4 linked regions of the Nothobranchius furzeri genome follow. The protein of the gene in region 1 binds, or shares a complex with, the protein of each later gene. Links are inferred from orthologs where the notes say so. Each region holds a gene or a part of one and is shown in the gene's direction. Other genes may lie near its edges. The genes, in order: orc4, orc2, orc5 and orc3.

Evidence for each region.
Region 2: the proteins of orc4 (region 1) and orc2 are in contact, whole or in part, in a cryo-EM structure (PDB 7JPP), measured with the Homo sapiens proteins. The link is inferred for Nothobranchius furzeri from reciprocal best matches to the Homo sapiens genes ORC4 and ORC2. Residues at the interface, in NP_001177808.1 of Homo sapiens: Lys168, Asn169, Arg195, Glu200, Leu201, Lys204, Arg205; in NP_006181.1 of Homo sapiens: Asp501, Asp504, Tyr508, Ser512, Gln518, Glu522, Val554.
Region 3: the proteins of orc4 (region 1) and orc5 are in contact, whole or in part, in a cryo-EM structure (PDB 7JPO), measured with the Homo sapiens proteins. The link is inferred for Nothobranchius furzeri from reciprocal best matches to the Homo sapiens genes ORC4 and ORC5. Residues at the interface, in NP_001177808.1 of Homo sapiens: Ser18, Gln21, Arg22, Arg25, Glu26, Cys29, Arg30, Gln31, Arg69, Thr74, Asn100, Leu102, Leu103, Gln104, Ile105, Ile109, Glu113, Arg116, Asp162, Arg277, Met281, Met284, Leu285, Asn288, Met311, Asp312, Ser313, Lys314, Asn316, Ile317; in NP_002544.1 of Homo sapiens: Ile17, Ser20, Leu21, Phe22, Gly23, Glu24, His26, His27, Phe28, Ser29, Phe30, Pro31, Tyr36, Gly37, His38, Thr39, Thr98, Phe99, Asn100, Val103, Arg104, Arg131, Glu134, Asn136, Pro139, Gly140, Arg143, Gln145, Glu146, Leu147.
Region 4: the proteins of orc4 (region 1) and orc3 are in contact, whole or in part, in a cryo-EM structure (PDB 7JPO), measured with the Homo sapiens proteins. The link is inferred for Nothobranchius furzeri from reciprocal best matches to the Homo sapiens genes ORC4 and ORC3. Residues at the interface, in NP_001177808.1 of Homo sapiens: Pro370, Lys374, Glu377, Gln381, Ser392, Gly393, Asn394, Ser395, Gln396, Arg397; in NP_036513.2 of Homo sapiens: Thr227, His260, Arg261, Leu262, Leu263, Pro264, His265, Ala266, Ser269.

Annotation. Positions count from the first base shown.
Region 1 is NC_091743.1:85,852,347-85,856,594, reverse strand, and holds the start of orc4 (origin recognition complex subunit 4), read left to right. Parts: upstream 1-1,388; 5' UTR 1,389-1,462; intron 1,463-1,986; 5' UTR 1,987-1,992; coding exon 1,993-2,049; intron 2,050-2,120; coding exon 2,121-2,197; intron 2,198-2,530; coding exon 2,531-2,621; intron 2,622-2,721; coding exon 2,722-2,797; intron 2,798-2,870; coding exon 2,871-2,956; intron 2,957-3,032; coding exon 3,033-3,081; intron 3,082-3,161; coding exon 3,162-3,313; intron 3,314-3,388; coding exon 3,389-3,562; intron 3,563-4,248. UniProt on the Homo sapiens protein: Component of the origin recognition complex (ORC) that binds origins of replication. DNA-binding is ATP-dependent. The specific DNA sequences that define origins of replication have not been identified yet.
Region 2 is NC_091751.1:63,947,929-63,952,090, forward strand, and holds the start of orc2 (origin recognition complex subunit 2), read left to right. Parts: upstream 1-1,309; 5' UTR 1,310-1,446; exon of another isoform or gene 1,447-1,580; 5' UTR 1,581-1,582; coding exon 1,583-1,652; intron 1,653-1,771; coding exon 1,772-1,930; intron 1,931-2,301; coding exon 2,302-2,388; intron 2,389-2,477; coding exon 2,478-2,567; intron 2,568-2,643; coding exon 2,644-2,675; intron 2,676-2,754; coding exon 2,755-2,812; intron 2,813-2,887; coding exon 2,888-3,186; intron 3,187-3,265; coding exon 3,266-3,375; intron 3,376-4,162. UniProt on the Homo sapiens protein: Component of the origin recognition complex (ORC) that binds origins of replication. DNA-binding is ATP-dependent. The specific DNA sequences that define origins of replication have not been identified yet.
Region 3 is NC_091741.1:42,954,350-42,957,909, forward strand, and holds part of orc5 (origin recognition complex subunit 5), read left to right. Parts: intron 1-1,188; coding exon 1,189-1,301; intron 1,302-1,389; coding exon 1,390-1,437; intron 1,438-1,553; coding exon 1,554-1,664; intron 1,665-3,050; coding exon 3,051-3,163; intron 3,164-3,291; coding exon 3,292-3,337; 3' UTR 3,338-3,375; intron 3,376-3,560. UniProt on the Homo sapiens protein: Component of the origin recognition complex (ORC) that binds origins of replication. DNA-binding is ATP-dependent. The specific DNA sequences that define origins of replication have not been identified yet.
Region 4 is NC_091758.1:29,126,577-29,130,600, reverse strand, and holds the start of orc3 (origin recognition complex subunit 3), read left to right. Parts: upstream 1-1,184; 5' UTR 1,185-1,280; coding exon 1,281-1,304; intron 1,305-1,410; coding exon 1,411-1,465; intron 1,466-1,548; coding exon 1,549-1,646; intron 1,647-1,719; coding exon 1,720-1,858; intron 1,859-1,953; coding exon 1,954-2,058; intron 2,059-2,153; coding exon 2,154-2,317; intron 2,318-2,394; coding exon 2,395-2,534; intron 2,535-2,614; coding exon 2,615-2,774; intron 2,775-2,848; coding exon 2,849-2,962; intron 2,963-3,045; coding exon 3,046-3,179; intron 3,180-3,261; coding exon 3,262-3,325; intron 3,326-3,397; coding exon 3,398-3,514; intron 3,515-3,612; coding exon 3,613-3,692; intron 3,693-3,891; coding exon 3,892-4,024. Other genes in the region: znf292a (zinc finger protein 292a), read left to right, coding at 1-34. UniProt on the Homo sapiens protein: Component of the origin recognition complex (ORC) that binds origins of replication. DNA-binding is ATP-dependent. The specific DNA sequences that define origins of replication have not been identified yet.

The DNA of each region.
Region 1 (4,248 bases):
AAACTACACAGTTATTTGCCTGTCATAAAATGTAAATAAACACAAAACATTTTCACTACAACAAGAACATTTTATAATACACAAAAACATGAGGACACATGAAAACACAAATAATACAGAAATTTTTTATTAATTATTTTGGTGTAGGAAACCACTTTTAGTAAGTTTACCGAAAACACATTATGTTTATGTAAGACACAGGGTTTCACAAAAAAACAGCTAATAACATATTGAATAAAAACAAACTATGTTAAAATTGAGAATACATAGTCTAAGATAGCGTAATTAAAACAAATGCTAATAAAGATCAACAAAATACACGGAAGCTCAGCTCTGAAGGTCCAACCTGAGAAGAAGATAAATGAGTGAAGCAGAAAAATATTTTTTGTCAGCTCAGACACTCAGCTGAATATTTGAACAAAGCTGATTTACAAATGTCACAGAAAAATTGTTAATTTTTAACATTTTGGCAAATAATATTGCTAGCTCAAAGACGCTAAAATTACCCCAATTATAGCCAAAAACCTTAGATGCACATAAATAATAAAATACATAAAAGTGATTTAGATTTTAACATAGGCAAGTTAAACAACATAAGCAAGTTATTGTGTCTCTTTTATTTGTGTTGCCATTAAAAATTAAGTATTGACATGATTTTCATATAAGAAAATATTTTTAAAACACTAATGCATTGACTAAATAGACTTTTTTTGGGTATATTGTTTCATCCTGATTTTTAAAAATAACATTTTGAAGTTTGTTGTGGTGTTTTGTTCACAGCACATTTCCCACCAAAGGATCACATTACAGGATCACTGTAAAAATGCAGCACGAAATCTGTCTAAGCTTAGAATGAACTTCAGCAGATAGATGTTTAAAACTATGAAAAAACTACCAAAAGTTAGAACATGTGTAAATTAATTTATTATTATTATTATTATTATTATTATTATTATTCAGGACTTCTCAATGGAGAGGGCAAGATCACAAAACCTGAAAAAAGTAAATAATTATTCAGGATTAAATGTTTTTACAAATATACTAAATTACGAAAAACATTTTTTTCTTTATAACGTTTTGTACAACTGTTAAACAAGATAGTTAATAATTAAGTATAAATACGGTATTTTGTTTTTATGTTAAAAGATGTTGATTTGGTAATTCAGCTCTTTTTTATGCCAGTAGGGGGCAACATTCAAACTTCTACAGCTTTTATGTCTAAAATACGTATCTCTTATTCGGTTATAAAAAATTGGAAAAAATAGAGCTATTTATGAAATCTTATTTTAATTTAACGTGCAGCTTTTACGCATTCATCCATTCTTACGTCCGTTTACCTCAAACTTCATCTTCGCTTTATTTTGCTTGTTTCTGTCTCAGCCAATCAGGAAGGAGATCCAGCCAAAGCAGGAAGTCGTCATCATTGCGTTCCCGCGAAGGTTTGCACACGACGAAATCTCAGGTAAGCCATCTATATTTACCACAACTATATTCGTGTACACGTTTTTATTGAGAAACAACATAATTTAATTTCAAACAGACCTGATTTAAACACCAAGTGTATGACGTAGAGCCAGCTGGCTCGTGCCGAGAGCACTGGACACGAGCTGAGACCAGTAGACATAATTGCTGCCAAACTAAATGGTGAAGTTAAAAGAAATGTATAAATTCCTCCTTTCTGACTGATATGAAGCAAATTCGAGCCAACTTGGAATGATCTTCTGTAAAAAAGTATTTGTTTATTAATTCGGCGCATATAATACTCACTGAAATCTTTATTATATTGTAATTTGTAGCAATTTACCATAAAATGATGGGCAATTAGAAGCTAAGCTGTCATGTGAGCATACGTATTTGAAAGTGCATCTATTTTATGAACAAACGCTTAAATTACAGGTTTCTGAGTTTACTAGAAAACTTAATAAACTGCATATAATTGGTTACACTGTTGCAGTGTTAATGTTTGACATTTACAATGTTTCACAGTTCATAATGAGCAAGAGGAAAGTGAAAGATGCCCATCTGCCTGTAGGAGAATGCATCACCCAGGTGTGGTTAACGAAAACACTCATTTATGACTTTTAAGTGCAAAAATACATAAATCTATCTTTTATTTGCAGGTTCATCAGATTTTGAGGCGGCGTTTCTGCCATCAGCAGCTCCCTGACAGACCACAGGGAGTGGAAGCTCAACACAAGTTGGTGCTTTTTTTTTTAAATAAGACACAAAAATCATTAAACAGATGAACTCTGCTGGGTTTCTAGTTATTTTGCTGCTGAGGATAATTTAAGAATAAATAATTTTATGTGCAAAATGTTTGAAAACATAGTTTTTAGTGATAAAGTGAAAACTCGGGGTTCAGATTACGTAAGATGACCCAGTTGAGTCAGGCCTGGATGACAGGTCTGTCCCAGTTTGCAGTAGGATAAAAGCTCCCAGCTGATTTCAACTCAAATCCACCTGCAACTCTGAAGATTTAACAGTTTTCACTTGTTAGTCGAAGCAGTTTTATGTTTTTATGTGCCTGCAGACACCTCGCGGAGCTGCTGAAACGAACGGCTGTCCACGGGGAGAGTAACTCTGTGCTAATAGTCGGTCCCAGAGGAGCTGGAAAAACCACGGTGAGTCTCTACAGGCTTAAACGTAACAAACACTTAAAATATGATTAATTAGCTTTAAATTCTGGAAGGGTTGCCACGTATTGACGGTAAGTTTTTGTAGCTGCTGAAGTGTGTGCTGAGGGAGCTGATGAAGGAAACAGAAGTGCACAAAAACCTCCTTCAGGTTCATCTCAACGGTAATCTAAAAAATGCTTCTGAATCCGACTTTTTGCTGGAACCAGATATTGAGATGTATTGTGCTTGCTGCAGGTCTGCTGCAGACAGACGACAGAATAGCCCTGAAAGAAATTACCCGACAACTCCACCTGGAGAATGTCGTTGGTGACAAAGTGTTTGTGAGTTTTCACACAGAGCTTTAGCTGTTCCTGCGAGAGAATCCACGCAAAAACGTTGTTTTGGTTTCATTTTCAGGGAAGTTTTGCAGAAAATTTAGCTTTTCTCCTGGACGCACTGAAAAAAGGTTAGTTTCTCAAACGGATTGTAAATGTGAATGTTTAGCTGTTATAAGCAGTGCCGAGTGCTGGTTTTGGTCTCCCGAAGGTGAGCGCAGCAGCAGCCGTCCGGTTCTGTTCGTTCTGGAGGAGTTTGACCTTTTCGCCCATCATAAGAACCAGACCCTGCTCTACAACCTGTTTGACGTCTCCCAGTCCGCCCAGGCGCCCATCGCTGTGGTCGGCCTCACGTGTCGACTGGTGAGTCTGAGAAAACCAGTTTACCATCTCCCACCATTCAGTCAGAGGATGTGAGCTTTGATTCGTTCTCTTTAGGATGTCCTTGAGCTGCTGGAGAAGCGGGTGAAGTCGCGGTTTTCCCACCGTCAGATCTACCTGCTGAGCAGCCTGACATTCACTCAGTACCTAGAGCGTGTCCAAACGCAGCTCAGCCTGCCGGGCGACTTCCCGGACAGGAAGTTTGCTCAGGAGTGGAATGCCAGCATAACGGTGAGCCCGTCCACACGTCGTCGTCTTCCTCCGCTTATCCGGGTCGCGGGGGCAGCATCCCAACTAGGGAGCTCCAGACCGTCCTCTCCCCGGCCACCTCCACCAGCTCCTCCGGCAGGACCCCAAGGCGTTCCCGGACCAGATTGGAGATGTAACCTCTCCAACGTGTCCTGGGTCAACCCGGGGGCCTCCTGCCGGCAGGACATGCCCGAAACACCTCCTCAGGGAGGCGTCCAGGAGGCATCCTGACCAGATGCCCAAACCACCTCAACTGACTCCTTTCGATCCGGAGGAGCAGCGGTTCTACTCCGAGTCCCTCCCGAATGTCCTAGCTCCTCACCCTATCTCTAAGGCTGAGCCCGGCCACCCTACGGAGGAAACTCATTTCGGCCGCTTGTATCCGCGATCTCGTTCTTTCGGTCATTACCCAAAGCTCATGACCATAGGTGAGGATTGGGACGTAGATCGACCGGTAAATCGAGAGCCTGGCTTTCTGGCTCAGCTCCCTCTTCACCACGACAGATCGGCTCAGCGTCCGCATCACTGCAGACGCCGAACCAATCCGCCTGTCGATCTCCCGATCCCTCCTACCCTCACTCGTGAACAAGACCCCGAGATACTTAAACTCCTCCACTTGAGGTAGGACCTCTCCCCCGACCCGGAGTTGGCAAGCCACCCTTTTCCGG
Region 2 (4,162 bases), on another chromosome or scaffold:
AGTCATTTCAGTTTTTATTTTAAATCAATATAATAGGAATTATCAACCAGAACAAACCCAAACTTATGAGCGAGTGTATTTCCCTGCCTCGCCCCATGAGATCTCCGAGGAAGACATAAAAATGAATAACATCCAGAAGATTAAAGGAGGAATTTAGATCCACATAAAGGAGATTTTATACATGGTGGATTGTATTCATACAGAATTGAAGATGTTCTTGTCAAAAAAGTGCAGATATTGTCTTGTGTAAAACTGTATCAACTAAATTTTTGTAGTGAAAGGTGAAAAAATAAACTGTTTCAATGAGCAAAAGTGAATCCAAAGTGTTAAATAGTTTTCTAAATCTGGATTCTCACGAACAAATTTGTCAGTATAAATATAGACGCAACACTTTTGTTTTTGCTCCCATTTTTCATGAGCTGAACTGAAACCTCTGAAACTTTTTCTACATGCGGTGGGATGGATCATCTTGGTAGAGGGAAAGTGCTCACTAACACACACACACACGTAGACAGATTTCAGAATAATATTTGAGGCCGCTAGAACGAAAAGACTTAACTAATAGCAAGACATCTAAATCCCCTTTCTTTAGTGAATCTTTAACCGGATTGTGGAGTTGAATGAATACTAAATAAACAATAATCACAGCATCAAACGTGACACACACTGATTCTCAAGACTACTTGAAATTGAAACTGAATGAAAAAAATAAACATGGCAATAAAATGCCCTTTACAGATTACCAAGAAATGTGATTCTTATTGAAAATGACCACAAACTGAATGTAACTTGAAATATGGACATTAACTAATGTCAGATCAGATATCAACCTGAATCATTAAAGTATTTTAATCAGTATCCAGTCAATCCTTGTATTTAGGATTTGGTTTAATCCTAATTTATTATTTTTATAATTCATATATTATTTTTAAACATATTTGTAATCATTTTTTAAATCTTTTTATACTTGAATTTTTTGGTTTTGTGAAGCGCCTCGTGATTTTTAACTTGAGAGAAAAGATCGTTCTCTTTCTTTCTTTTCTTTACAACGTTAAACTTTATTTTCACAGTTCTATTTTCATTATTTTCACTACTTCTTCTTTTCTGTGCTTAAGCGTGTCATATTGTGTCCATTACATTTGATCTTACCTGTACAAAGTTTTTTCTACTGCTGTGAATTAGAGTAAGAATACCTGACTTGAATATTATTTGTCTGTGGACTTGTGACAGGCGGACTTGTTGAAAGGATTCTTGGGAAACGTAGTTTTACTGCTACTAGCGTTTTGATTGGCCACTTTATGACCTTTCCACTCAGTCACGTGATTTAAAATGTTCAGAATGGCGCGGAAACTTGTCACATCGCTTCTCAATTAAACTTTCCGACTTTAAAGTTTTGTTTATGTTTTAAATTTTATATTGTTTTGCGGACTTTTTCCGCCCGTTTGAGTAAGTCTCGACCTTTTGCGCTCACTTTCCTCAGCTTTAGCGCGAGAGTTCAAACCGACTCTAGTAGCAGGGCTAATTGTGTGTTTTGCTGCGTGGCTTCAGGCTTGTATCGTGTGTTTTGTGTTTATTGGTAGAAATGAGCGTGTTGGAGGTGAAGTTCGTTGGGGATGGGGATGTTTTGGAGCACATCGTGGACAAACAGGAGGGTATGAGCTGGTTTATCTCTGCTGTTTTGTTTTTTGCCCATTCGCTCTCGTTTTATGTGTGCGTGTGTGTGTGTGCGCGCGCGCGCGCGCGTGTGTGTGTGTGTGTGTGTTGTGACTAGTATTGCAGAGCAGTGCTGGCTCTGGGCTGAGGATGGTGAAGTTTAAGAGCCCGGCTGGACAGAGGGAATGCCTGGAGGAGACTCGGTGTGATGGAGATGAAAACGGAGTCCATGATGAGCTGGGTTATGTCCGAGCTTTAGGAACTGAAAACGATGAAGGTATCCCTTCCTTGGTTCTGGTTTTGTCCTGCTGCATTTTCACCCTCATCCTCCACTCTTCCATCCATAAATCTGCTCTTTGGCTTTCCTCCACGACTCCTGCCTGGCTGTTCCAGCCTGAGCATCCTTCTGCAGATTCCTCCATGTCCAAACCATCTTAGCCTGATCTTATTTCAAATCATCTAACGCAGTCCCTCTAATCCTGATCCTGTCACTCCTGAAGACAATCTCAACATTTTCACCTGCCCTGCCTCCTGTCTTCTCGGTGCCACTGTAGATCATCGAGTTTAGTATTTTGACATTACCTAATAAAGCCATAACATGAACCTAAATGTCTCTTAATGCCACTAATATGTTCTTTGGCTTCACAGAAGTAGACGATAATCCTTCTAGAGTTGCTGGTTCCTCCATCTTCACCTTCCAGAAAGTCAAACGAAGTCACAGCTTGGCCCAAACTGGTGAATCTCCGATTACCTCTCGAACGAAGGCTCAACGTTCATCTTCAGCTGCATTTATTAAACCGTTGTTTTGTTGTTTCCCTTCGTAGCGAGCGAACTGGCTCGGACCCCGGGAAAAAGCGTGAGCTTCACCAGGGACACAAACTCGGAACCCACCACTCCCTCTCGGACAGGCAGCAGTGAGTCGAGCGAACCCACTCCCCGTCCGCCTGTGCTCTCATTATGAAATGATCAGGTTTACTTTTGTCTGTCTAGGCCACGCAGGTGAAAACAGGACACCACAGAGGGTGAGAGAGCTAATACATTTCACTTTATCCAGTGAAGGATTTAGTTTGTTTTAATTTAGTTTTGTTTCTCCTGAAACAGAAAAAGAGTGTCCGGTTTGTCTCCACCACCCCTCACAGACTCAGGAAGAGACTTACAGGTACGCCTGGCCTGTTGTAGTTGTGTTCGTTTAGTAACGCTGGTGTAATCTGGGTGTGGTGGGGCTTATTTTCAGCACCAACTCTTCGGTCTGACAGCGACAGTGAACTCTCCCCCTCTGACTCTGAGGAGGACGAGCTCAAAGAAGAGCAGAGAGGGAAGCAAGAGGACAAGGAGAATGTGAAAAAGACGAGAACCCCTAGTAAAGGGCTTTCTGCAGCTCTCTACAAGACTCCTGCCAAGAGGAGCAAGAACACAGCCGAGCCTCTGAATCAGCCCACCATGACCGAGGAGTATTTTGAGGCTCATGGCAGCTCAAAGGTCCTGACGTCGGACCGGACCCTCCAGCGTTTGCACACCCCTAAGTTTGACCGGGTGTGTGAATTAAAAGTTACATGTTAGTCCATTATAATAAACCTTTGGCTAAACTCCACCTCTTTTACTTTTTGGACAGGAGACGTTGGATCGTCTTTTAGAAGATAAACCGTCTTGCTACTCAAAAGAGATCCAGCAGCTGCACGACAAACACAGGAAGCACTTTAACAAATGGATGTTACAGCTGCAGTGAGTGTGGCGGCGTGCCCTTTCCTACGGTTTGACTCTGTTCTACTAAAACGTCTCCCTAGGGGTTGTATGAACTAGTCGACTTCACGGCTCTGTAGTGACTTTTTATGCCTGTCATCGACTAGTCGCTGTCACGTGATAATGACTGACAAGATGCAGTCCTCCAGCAGGTGATGAGCCCCTGCGTCGGGAGGCGGAGGCGACGCGCTGTGCCAGAGCGTCGGTACTGACACCGGCGGTAAAACGGACATTTAACCAAACTGTGACCTTTACCCTCTTGCAATTTAACCTTCCCCTCACCCCCATCCTAATCTTAACCAGTTTGCGCATGCAAAGCTCTGATCGTTGACGCGCTCCAGACATCTGCGTCCAGAGCACCGCCAAATCAGGTGTCACCACCTCAAAAACTAACTAAACACGCGATCGTTCATGTCGGCTCATTTCCTTTCATGTTTTCTGTCTGTTATTTGTGCCTGATGCGTTTCGCTGCTGCGGAGCGAGGCTCTTCACCTGTTTTGTCCTCCGGTGACGCACCCCCAAGATTCCACTATCTCCGCTCCGGCACGAACTCCGCAGCAAAAACGGTCCCGTTGTAGTCGGCCGGCGAGCAGCGGCACTCCGCTGTTTTTGCGGTCGGTAGATCTTTTAGAACTGCAGTTCAAAGGTAACTCATAAGGTGAATATATATGAACCCAGGTAGCAGTTTTTCTTTAGGACTGAGAGGAGATGCAGGAAGATAATAAACAGGCAGGACAGAAAAATAGGCAAATAAAAACAAGTTAGTTTT
Region 3 (3,560 bases), on another chromosome or scaffold:
TTCACATTTTACCATGGTGTACACGATTACAAAAATTATGATGCAACATTACCTTCACCATTTAGAAACTGAATCCCAAACGCTGTTATTACTGAAAAAATAACATTAACACCTTTTATAAAAAAAATACAGCTTATTACAAATAATTTTTGCCAGAAAAAAACAGCATTTTTCTTTTCTAGCTTCAACATTGCAGGTTATGGACCAACAACTTTCCCTGCGGTGCTGACAGTTTGCTCCGATGTGAGCTTGTGGTGCAGATGCAAGCTTTCAAGCCAGTCACGACCTCTCGGGAAGAGACTAGCAGCATGTTTCCACCAGAAAAGTGATTTGTCATCTCCTTGAATAACAGGCTTCAAATAAGCTGTTGCTTCATATCTAGATTGTTTCTCTGCAGTGCCGACGGAACCCAACGTCACCTCTTTATGCACGGGAACGTTCGTTGAAGGGGAAACGCAGATTGACATAACATCGGCTCTCTTTTATCATTTGCTTTGAACCCGAATTACTTCCAAACTTCAGAAACAGTTTTATTTATTTTTCTATTTTTTTACACCAAGTCAGTGAATGTGGGACCTGCTATCTTCCCCCCCCCCCCCCCTCTCTCTCTCTCTCTCTCTCTCTCTCTCTCTCTCTCTTTCTCTCTCTCTCTCTCTCTCTCTCTCTCTCTCTCTCTCTCTCTCTCTCTCTTTCCCTCTCCTCTGCACTCTCTCTCTCCTCTGCACTGTCACATGACAGCGTCATGTTCATAAACTTTGTGGAATGTCTCCCAATAGTCTGCCATCACTATTTAAATAAAACAGACAAATCAACCATACATCAGTTTTACACATCAATTTACTTTTTACATATTAAATTGTTTTAAAAAAATTCATTCTTATCTAAGTGCACTGCGGTTTTTTTTTTCAGGACGGTATTGTCACTGATATCGTTGCTATTTTTAAACACCGTCTATACGGCATTACCATAATACAGCCCATGAGGATCCAGCATTGTCACAACTCTGCTCGGCCTTTTTTTCCCTCTCCCAATTCTCCTCATGTAATCCCCTCTTCAACTATTATCTAACGGTAGCGCGACTCTTGTTGCGAATGACCACAGTACCAATTCTTCTGTACTGAAACAATCGCCCCTCGGGGATGATTAAAGTTTTTTTGAATTGAATTGAATTGTTTTTTTCCTTCAAAGGTTTGTCAGCTCACACTCATGTTGAACTTCCTTATTACTCCAAGTTCCTGCTGATTGCTGCCTACCTGGCCTCCTACAACCCGGCTCGCACTGATAAACGCTTCTTTGTGAAGGTAGAACAGTTACAGTTCATTACATACCTGCTATTTTATTTTCCTAAACTGGTTTTAAGATGCTGTGTTTTCCCTTTCTGCCTCGCAGCATCACGGTAAAATACGAAAAACAAACTTCTTGAAGAAAAATGAAAAGGTGAGAGGTCAAACTCACCTAAAATCTAAAACATCAGCCATTGAAATTAATCAATTTTCTTCTGGGATTAATAAAGTATTTTTGAATCGAATTGAATTGAATTCTGTCTCTTTTAGACGAGTAACCACCTTCTTGGGCCGAAGCCCTTTCCTCTGGACCGTCTACTCGCCATTTTTTACAGTGTGGTGGACAGCAGAGTGGCCCCGACTGCTAGCATATTCTCCCAGGTCTGATCATTTTTAGGAGTACTTTATTAACATTTCTGTTCAGAAAATGTGAGGAAAAACCTTTATGCCAAAAAGTTTTTGCTTTTCTTTCACACAAAGAAGATTTTGCTTCTTAAAATGTCATTTTTGTCTGGATTTCAATTTCAAATCTAAAAATACGAGCACTGAAAAAATAAACTTTAGTCAAATAAAGTGAAACTTTTACATTTCAATACCAACTGACAACATAGTTGTAGAAAAGATTTTTTAATTTTATCAGAGTTGTGTTGAAACTACATCGAAGTAGATTTTATTAATGAGTTTCTATTTTAAATAACATTTGAACAAAGGCTTTTATCTGCTGGTGGTGTTAAGGGTGTTTTGTGTCTTTAACTTGTAAAATACAGACTAAACCTTAACCTTTAAAAAAATTAATCCAGAGGTTTGATATTTCAAAGCCTTTAAATTAGTGTTTTCCTGCATTTCTAAACACCTATTTAACTTACTTGAAGAAACTAACATGTTTTTAATATTTTAAGCAAAATTACATTCTAAATTTGGATTTTGCCGTTTAAAGAAGCAATCAAAGAAAGTGCATTGTTGCAAATATTTGGCCACCCGTTGTTTTTTGCCATTAAACATTAAAAAATGATTTCCCTTTTACAAATGCTCTTTACTGTTTCTGATGAATGTTTCCTGCAAAAAAATATTTTCAGTGTTTTACATCCACTGCTTTCATGGAAAGAGGATTTTAATTGAGTTTAAGCTGATGAAGTCAAAATAAATAATACATGATTCTGGTATTTAGATGAATAAAATCTTTTAATGTAATGTTTCTTCTCTGCTGCACACACACACACACACACACACACACACACACACACACACACATATTTATTGGTTGGTGATGATATTTTAAAAGTTAAAGTCCATTAGTCATCATCACATGCTGATGAAATTGCATCTCCGCATTTGACCCATCCCCGTGGGGAGCGGTGAGCCGCAGCTGTGGCTGCACTTGGGAACTATTTGGTGTTTTAAACCCCAATCCAACCCCTTAAAGCTGAGCGTCAAGCAGGAAGTTATTGGGGCTCATTTTTAAAGTCTTGGGTTTGATCTGACTGGGATTTGAACACTGATATCCCAGTCTCAGGGCGGACACACCACTAGGCCACTGAGATGGGAAATGTGAAGAGCATTTCGAGCAAATGGAATAAAAGCTCCAGAAAAACATCTCATACTGCACCTTTAATAAACAGAGGGTTTCCTCAGATCTACGAAAAGTTCTGATTAAAATGCCTTCAGGAAATCTGTGTTTCTGCATTCCAATATTTAGAGCTGCTGTGTCAAAGTGAATCAGCCGTCTGTTCCAGGATCAGAGAATCATTCTGTTCCTCCTCCCTTTAGATCTCCTCTCTGGTGACCCTGCAGCTGCTGGTTCAGATCAGCCATGACGACCAACTCGATGCCCCAAAATACAAGTGTGCAGTTACTCTGGATTTCATTTCTGCCATATCCAGGTGTGTGTGTGTGTGTGTGTGTGTGTTATCTGTTATCACACGACAGAGAGTTGCCAAATTAATCAAGGGATGTGACCTTTTATAGTGTTATGGAGAATGTGCTTGGTGTGATTTTTTTTTTTTTTCAGGACTGTGAACTTTGATATTGTGAAGTATCTGTACGACTTCCTGTGAGCCAGCGGGGCCTGAAGGAGAGAAGACGCACAATGATGGTAAGATATGAAAGATTTATGCGTGCAGGAACACACTTCAAGACAAGTGTTTGGCAGAATAAACGGTCCAGACTTCTGTTATGTGGAGGAAAATTAATCTGATTATAATTCTGCCCCCTTGTGGCTGATATGAATTACAAACGATCTCAAATATTCAAATTTGTAGTAAACAAACTTTAAAAAAT
Region 4 (4,024 bases), on another chromosome or scaffold:
TATTATAAAAAAGAGGATTTTTAGTGAATCATAGCTCATTTTGTTGTTGTCTTTTTGTTTCCTACCCTGTCTTACTCAGGATTTGAGACGTTATGCTGCAGAATGATTTGTTTCTTAATGCATCAGATTTCCAACTGTTAACAGTCATGGTCACAGTTAACAATGAAATGGCCTATTTTGTACCTAATTGAAAAAATATGTCTCTGATGATTTTAACTATGTATGTTAGTTATAATAACCAGGTAAGCTATAGGGCATAGATTTTAGAACCATGTTTGTATTTATGCTTAGTACTGAATATGTTTTTTTTCTTTTACTAAATGGACACCTTTTAAAGAAAACTATGTTTTTATAAATATCCCTATGGGATTTCGAGTCCTGTTTGTATTTATTTCATCCCTTTTCAACACTAGTAGACCTATCTGTAATATTTACATGTCTTCCACAAAGTGTTCAATAAAATGTTACTGGTTCTTTTTTATAAAAGCACGAGTGAAATCTTGTCTTTTTAAAAATGTCATCAATTTGATCTACAAATACAACAACACAGCTGCTTAAACCCAGTTATTCATGAAATTGTAACTTCTTGAATTAAATAAACTTTCAAAGATGATCTCATAAACCATTTTAATTTATAGCACATTTAAAAACGGCATGATCAAAGTGCTGTACACGGAAGGATTAAGATTCTGGGAAAGGGATAAAATGCAGCATTCACAAATTGGACGAAGCTAGAGCCAGTTTAAAAGATTTAAATTATACTTTATTATAATCTGCAGAATCACATTCATAATGTATTGTCAATATGTTTACTTTATTCATAAGTAGTTTATGAAGCTGTTCTGAATTTATAACAAGCTCCATTTTTATTTTTATTTAAATTCAAATAAAGCCAAATTACTTTTAATCTAAAACTAAAAGATGTGGTAAACAAGACTAATACACATTGTGGATTACATGCATTTTATAATACACAGAAAATGTGTTTAATATTTGAGTCATTCAATTTTTAGACAGCTTTGTGATATTTAAATATAAACACACAAAATAAAATATATGTGTGTGATCACGGTTACATTTTGTTGTCTATTATATTCTATGGCGGCATCTAATTATATGCTATAGCGGCTACATCTAATTATATGCTATAGCGGCTTGCCATACATTCTAACACTTCCAACCTTTTCCGTAAACGTCACTCTGGCGGGAAGTCGCGGCTACGTTTCATGAAAAGTAGCGTTTTTTTAAAAAAGAAACTACTACAAAGAGTTTGAAGAAAGATGGCCACCTCTTCTGTTTCAAAGGTAACTTCTTATAGCTTGTTGTCGTTCAACGACGTTTCTATTAACAAAAATGGAGACCTCGCGATATTTGCGTCAGACTCGACTGTGTTTTGCTGTGTCCCTTTAGGGCTGCTTTGTTTTCAAGCCCAGCGCTAAAAAGAAGAAAAAGACCCTTGATTTGGGTGAGCTATGTTACATTAGACAGAGAAGAGTTGTTAGTTGGATCTGTTTGTTGCGATATAAACGTGTCTGTATTTTTACACAGAGAGCTATTTCACTGATGGCTGTGAAGATGCACGGAGCAGTGAGTTGAGATTCGAGCTCTGCCAGGATCTGTGGGACCAAATCAAAACTGAGACAGAAGTAAGAACAAATTATAATATCAAAAAAATACAGAGAATGTGCAGATCAGCATAATCTTTTTTTTTTAAATAAGATTTTACAGGATGAGCTCAACAGAAAAGTTCTGGACAGTTTGTTGGAGTTCACCAAAAAATGCTCCTCCATCCGCCATCACAGTGACTGGACCTCACAGATGAGAGCAAGTGAAATTCCCACAGCCGCTCTCATCCTTGGTACCCAGTAGTTATTGTTTTGTTTTTTCAAGCTGCTAACTTGCATTATTACAAAAATCCCGCAAGCTGCATTTGACTTTCATCTCTCACTGCAGGCGTGAACGTCACAGATCATGACATGACCTTCCAGAGTCTGTCTGAGCTGCTCCAGACGTCTGTCACCCCCCATGTGGCGTCTGTGCAAGCCAAAGAGTGTGGAGGTGATGGGAAAAGCTTCAAAATATACAAACGCGTCAGGATTTTACTGTAAATGTCACAATATTCAGGAGTAGACTTTTTGGTTTTATTATTTCAGCTCTTAAGCATTTGATGAAGAAGGTTCTGGAGAGATTGATGGACACGGTTGTAGCTGTAGGTGATGATGATGATGATGAGGTGGAGGAGGAAACGGAGCAGCACCACAGGAGTGTTCACTGCTCCTTGACGACTCTCTGCGATTGGTATAGTAAGAAAACAAAGGTGAGGACACGACGCAGGTCCGCTCATGCAGGTTTTTAATTCGGCGAGGTGAAAACAAACGTTTTCTTGGGTTTAAGAAATCCAGCAGTGGAACTCCCGGAAAAAAGCGCAGTTCTTTGGTCGTTAACGAGCAGCAGGAGCCTCCGGTGGTGATCGTCTTCAAAGATTTGGAAGCTTTTAATCCGAGAGTTCTTCAGGACTTCATCCTTGTCTGCAGGTGACTTTAGAGCAGACACGTGAGAAGCTCTCACGGTTTACGTTGGAAGGTTAAAACTGCGTCTGATGATTGATCCACAGCCGTTACGTTCAGCGTCTTCCCCTGATGTTTATCTTCGGGATCGCCACGGCGCCCAGCACCATCCAGCACATGCTGCCTCACTCTGTGTCCTCGCTGCTGTGCATAGAGCTCTTCCAGTCCCTGTCCTGCTCTCAGCATCTCACCACCGTCATAGAAAAGGTGCCTTCACCGTGACATCTGTGCATGCTGATCGAAGATTTTGAATCTGATAAAAGTCCATCCCTTCTTTCCAGTTGATCCTGACACATTCTTTTCCCTTCAAACTCAACGGGAAAGTGATGCAGGTGCTGGTGGGCATCTTCCTCTACCACGACTTCTCAGTCAAAAACTTCATTAAGGGCCTGCAGGTGAGGATCGGGGTCTAAACGAGTAAGGTATGTAAATGTAAGGGACTGATTTTCTCCCGACTATCTTCCCGTCCTGGGTGCAGCTGGCCCTGCTGGAGCACTTTTACTCGCAGCCCCTCAGCGTGCTGTGCTGTAGGAAGGAGAAGGCTCTGCTGAACCTGAAACACCTTCGCCATGATGACCTGGAGAGGGTCAGGCAGCTCCCGTCGTTCAGGAGGTGAACAAAACCAGCTGAGATGATCATTTTCTATAACTGAATGAAAAAAAAAAAAGCTCTTTGTGTTAAAATTCGTTTTTAGGTTTGTGGAAAAGCAAGAAATAGAAGAGCAGGAAAAGCTCAGGACGGATGACTCTCATTTAAAGGTTTGTTAAAGATTTCAGTTTTTAGACGACTTTTTTTTTGTGCACAGGATTTTATCCTTTTTGTGATTTTAGAACGTTTGTCAAAAACTGATGAAGGATCTTCACAAATACCACAAGTGCTATTATCCCATTTTGAGGTGTCTCCACACTCTGACCTCATCGTTGCCTCGATACCCTCTCGGAAAACAGGCAAGAAAACAGTTTTAAACTTTCATTTAAACCATCTTTTTGCTTTGGTCTCACTTCGTTCTTTGATTTTTGGAGTCTCCTTTTTCTTACTGCTGCAGATCAGGGAGCTGCACTTGATTTGCCTGGAGAAGAACGTGTGGGAGGCGGAGGAGTACCAGTCAGCTGTGAATCTTTTAAAGTAAGCTGAGCTCAACATAAAACTTGTAATTTTTTTATTTTTTGAGGCATTTCTATTTAGCTATTTTGATGTAAACGCAATGCCATCTCTCCATTCAGTTGCAGCCAGTTAGATTTGCCACTAGGTGGCGACAAAGTTGTGGGATTTTTAGAGGTGTTCCTCCCCCTGGTGGTCAGTATTTTTGTACTTTTTTCTTCAGGATGCTGGCGAAAGACGAGCTGATCTCTTTGCTGCAGAAATGTGCAGAAATCCTGCAGCCCATCAGGTCAACTCAGATGAAGAGTGCTTGCGTCCAACTGGAGGAACTACTGTCCAAATTCCAGCAGCTGGAT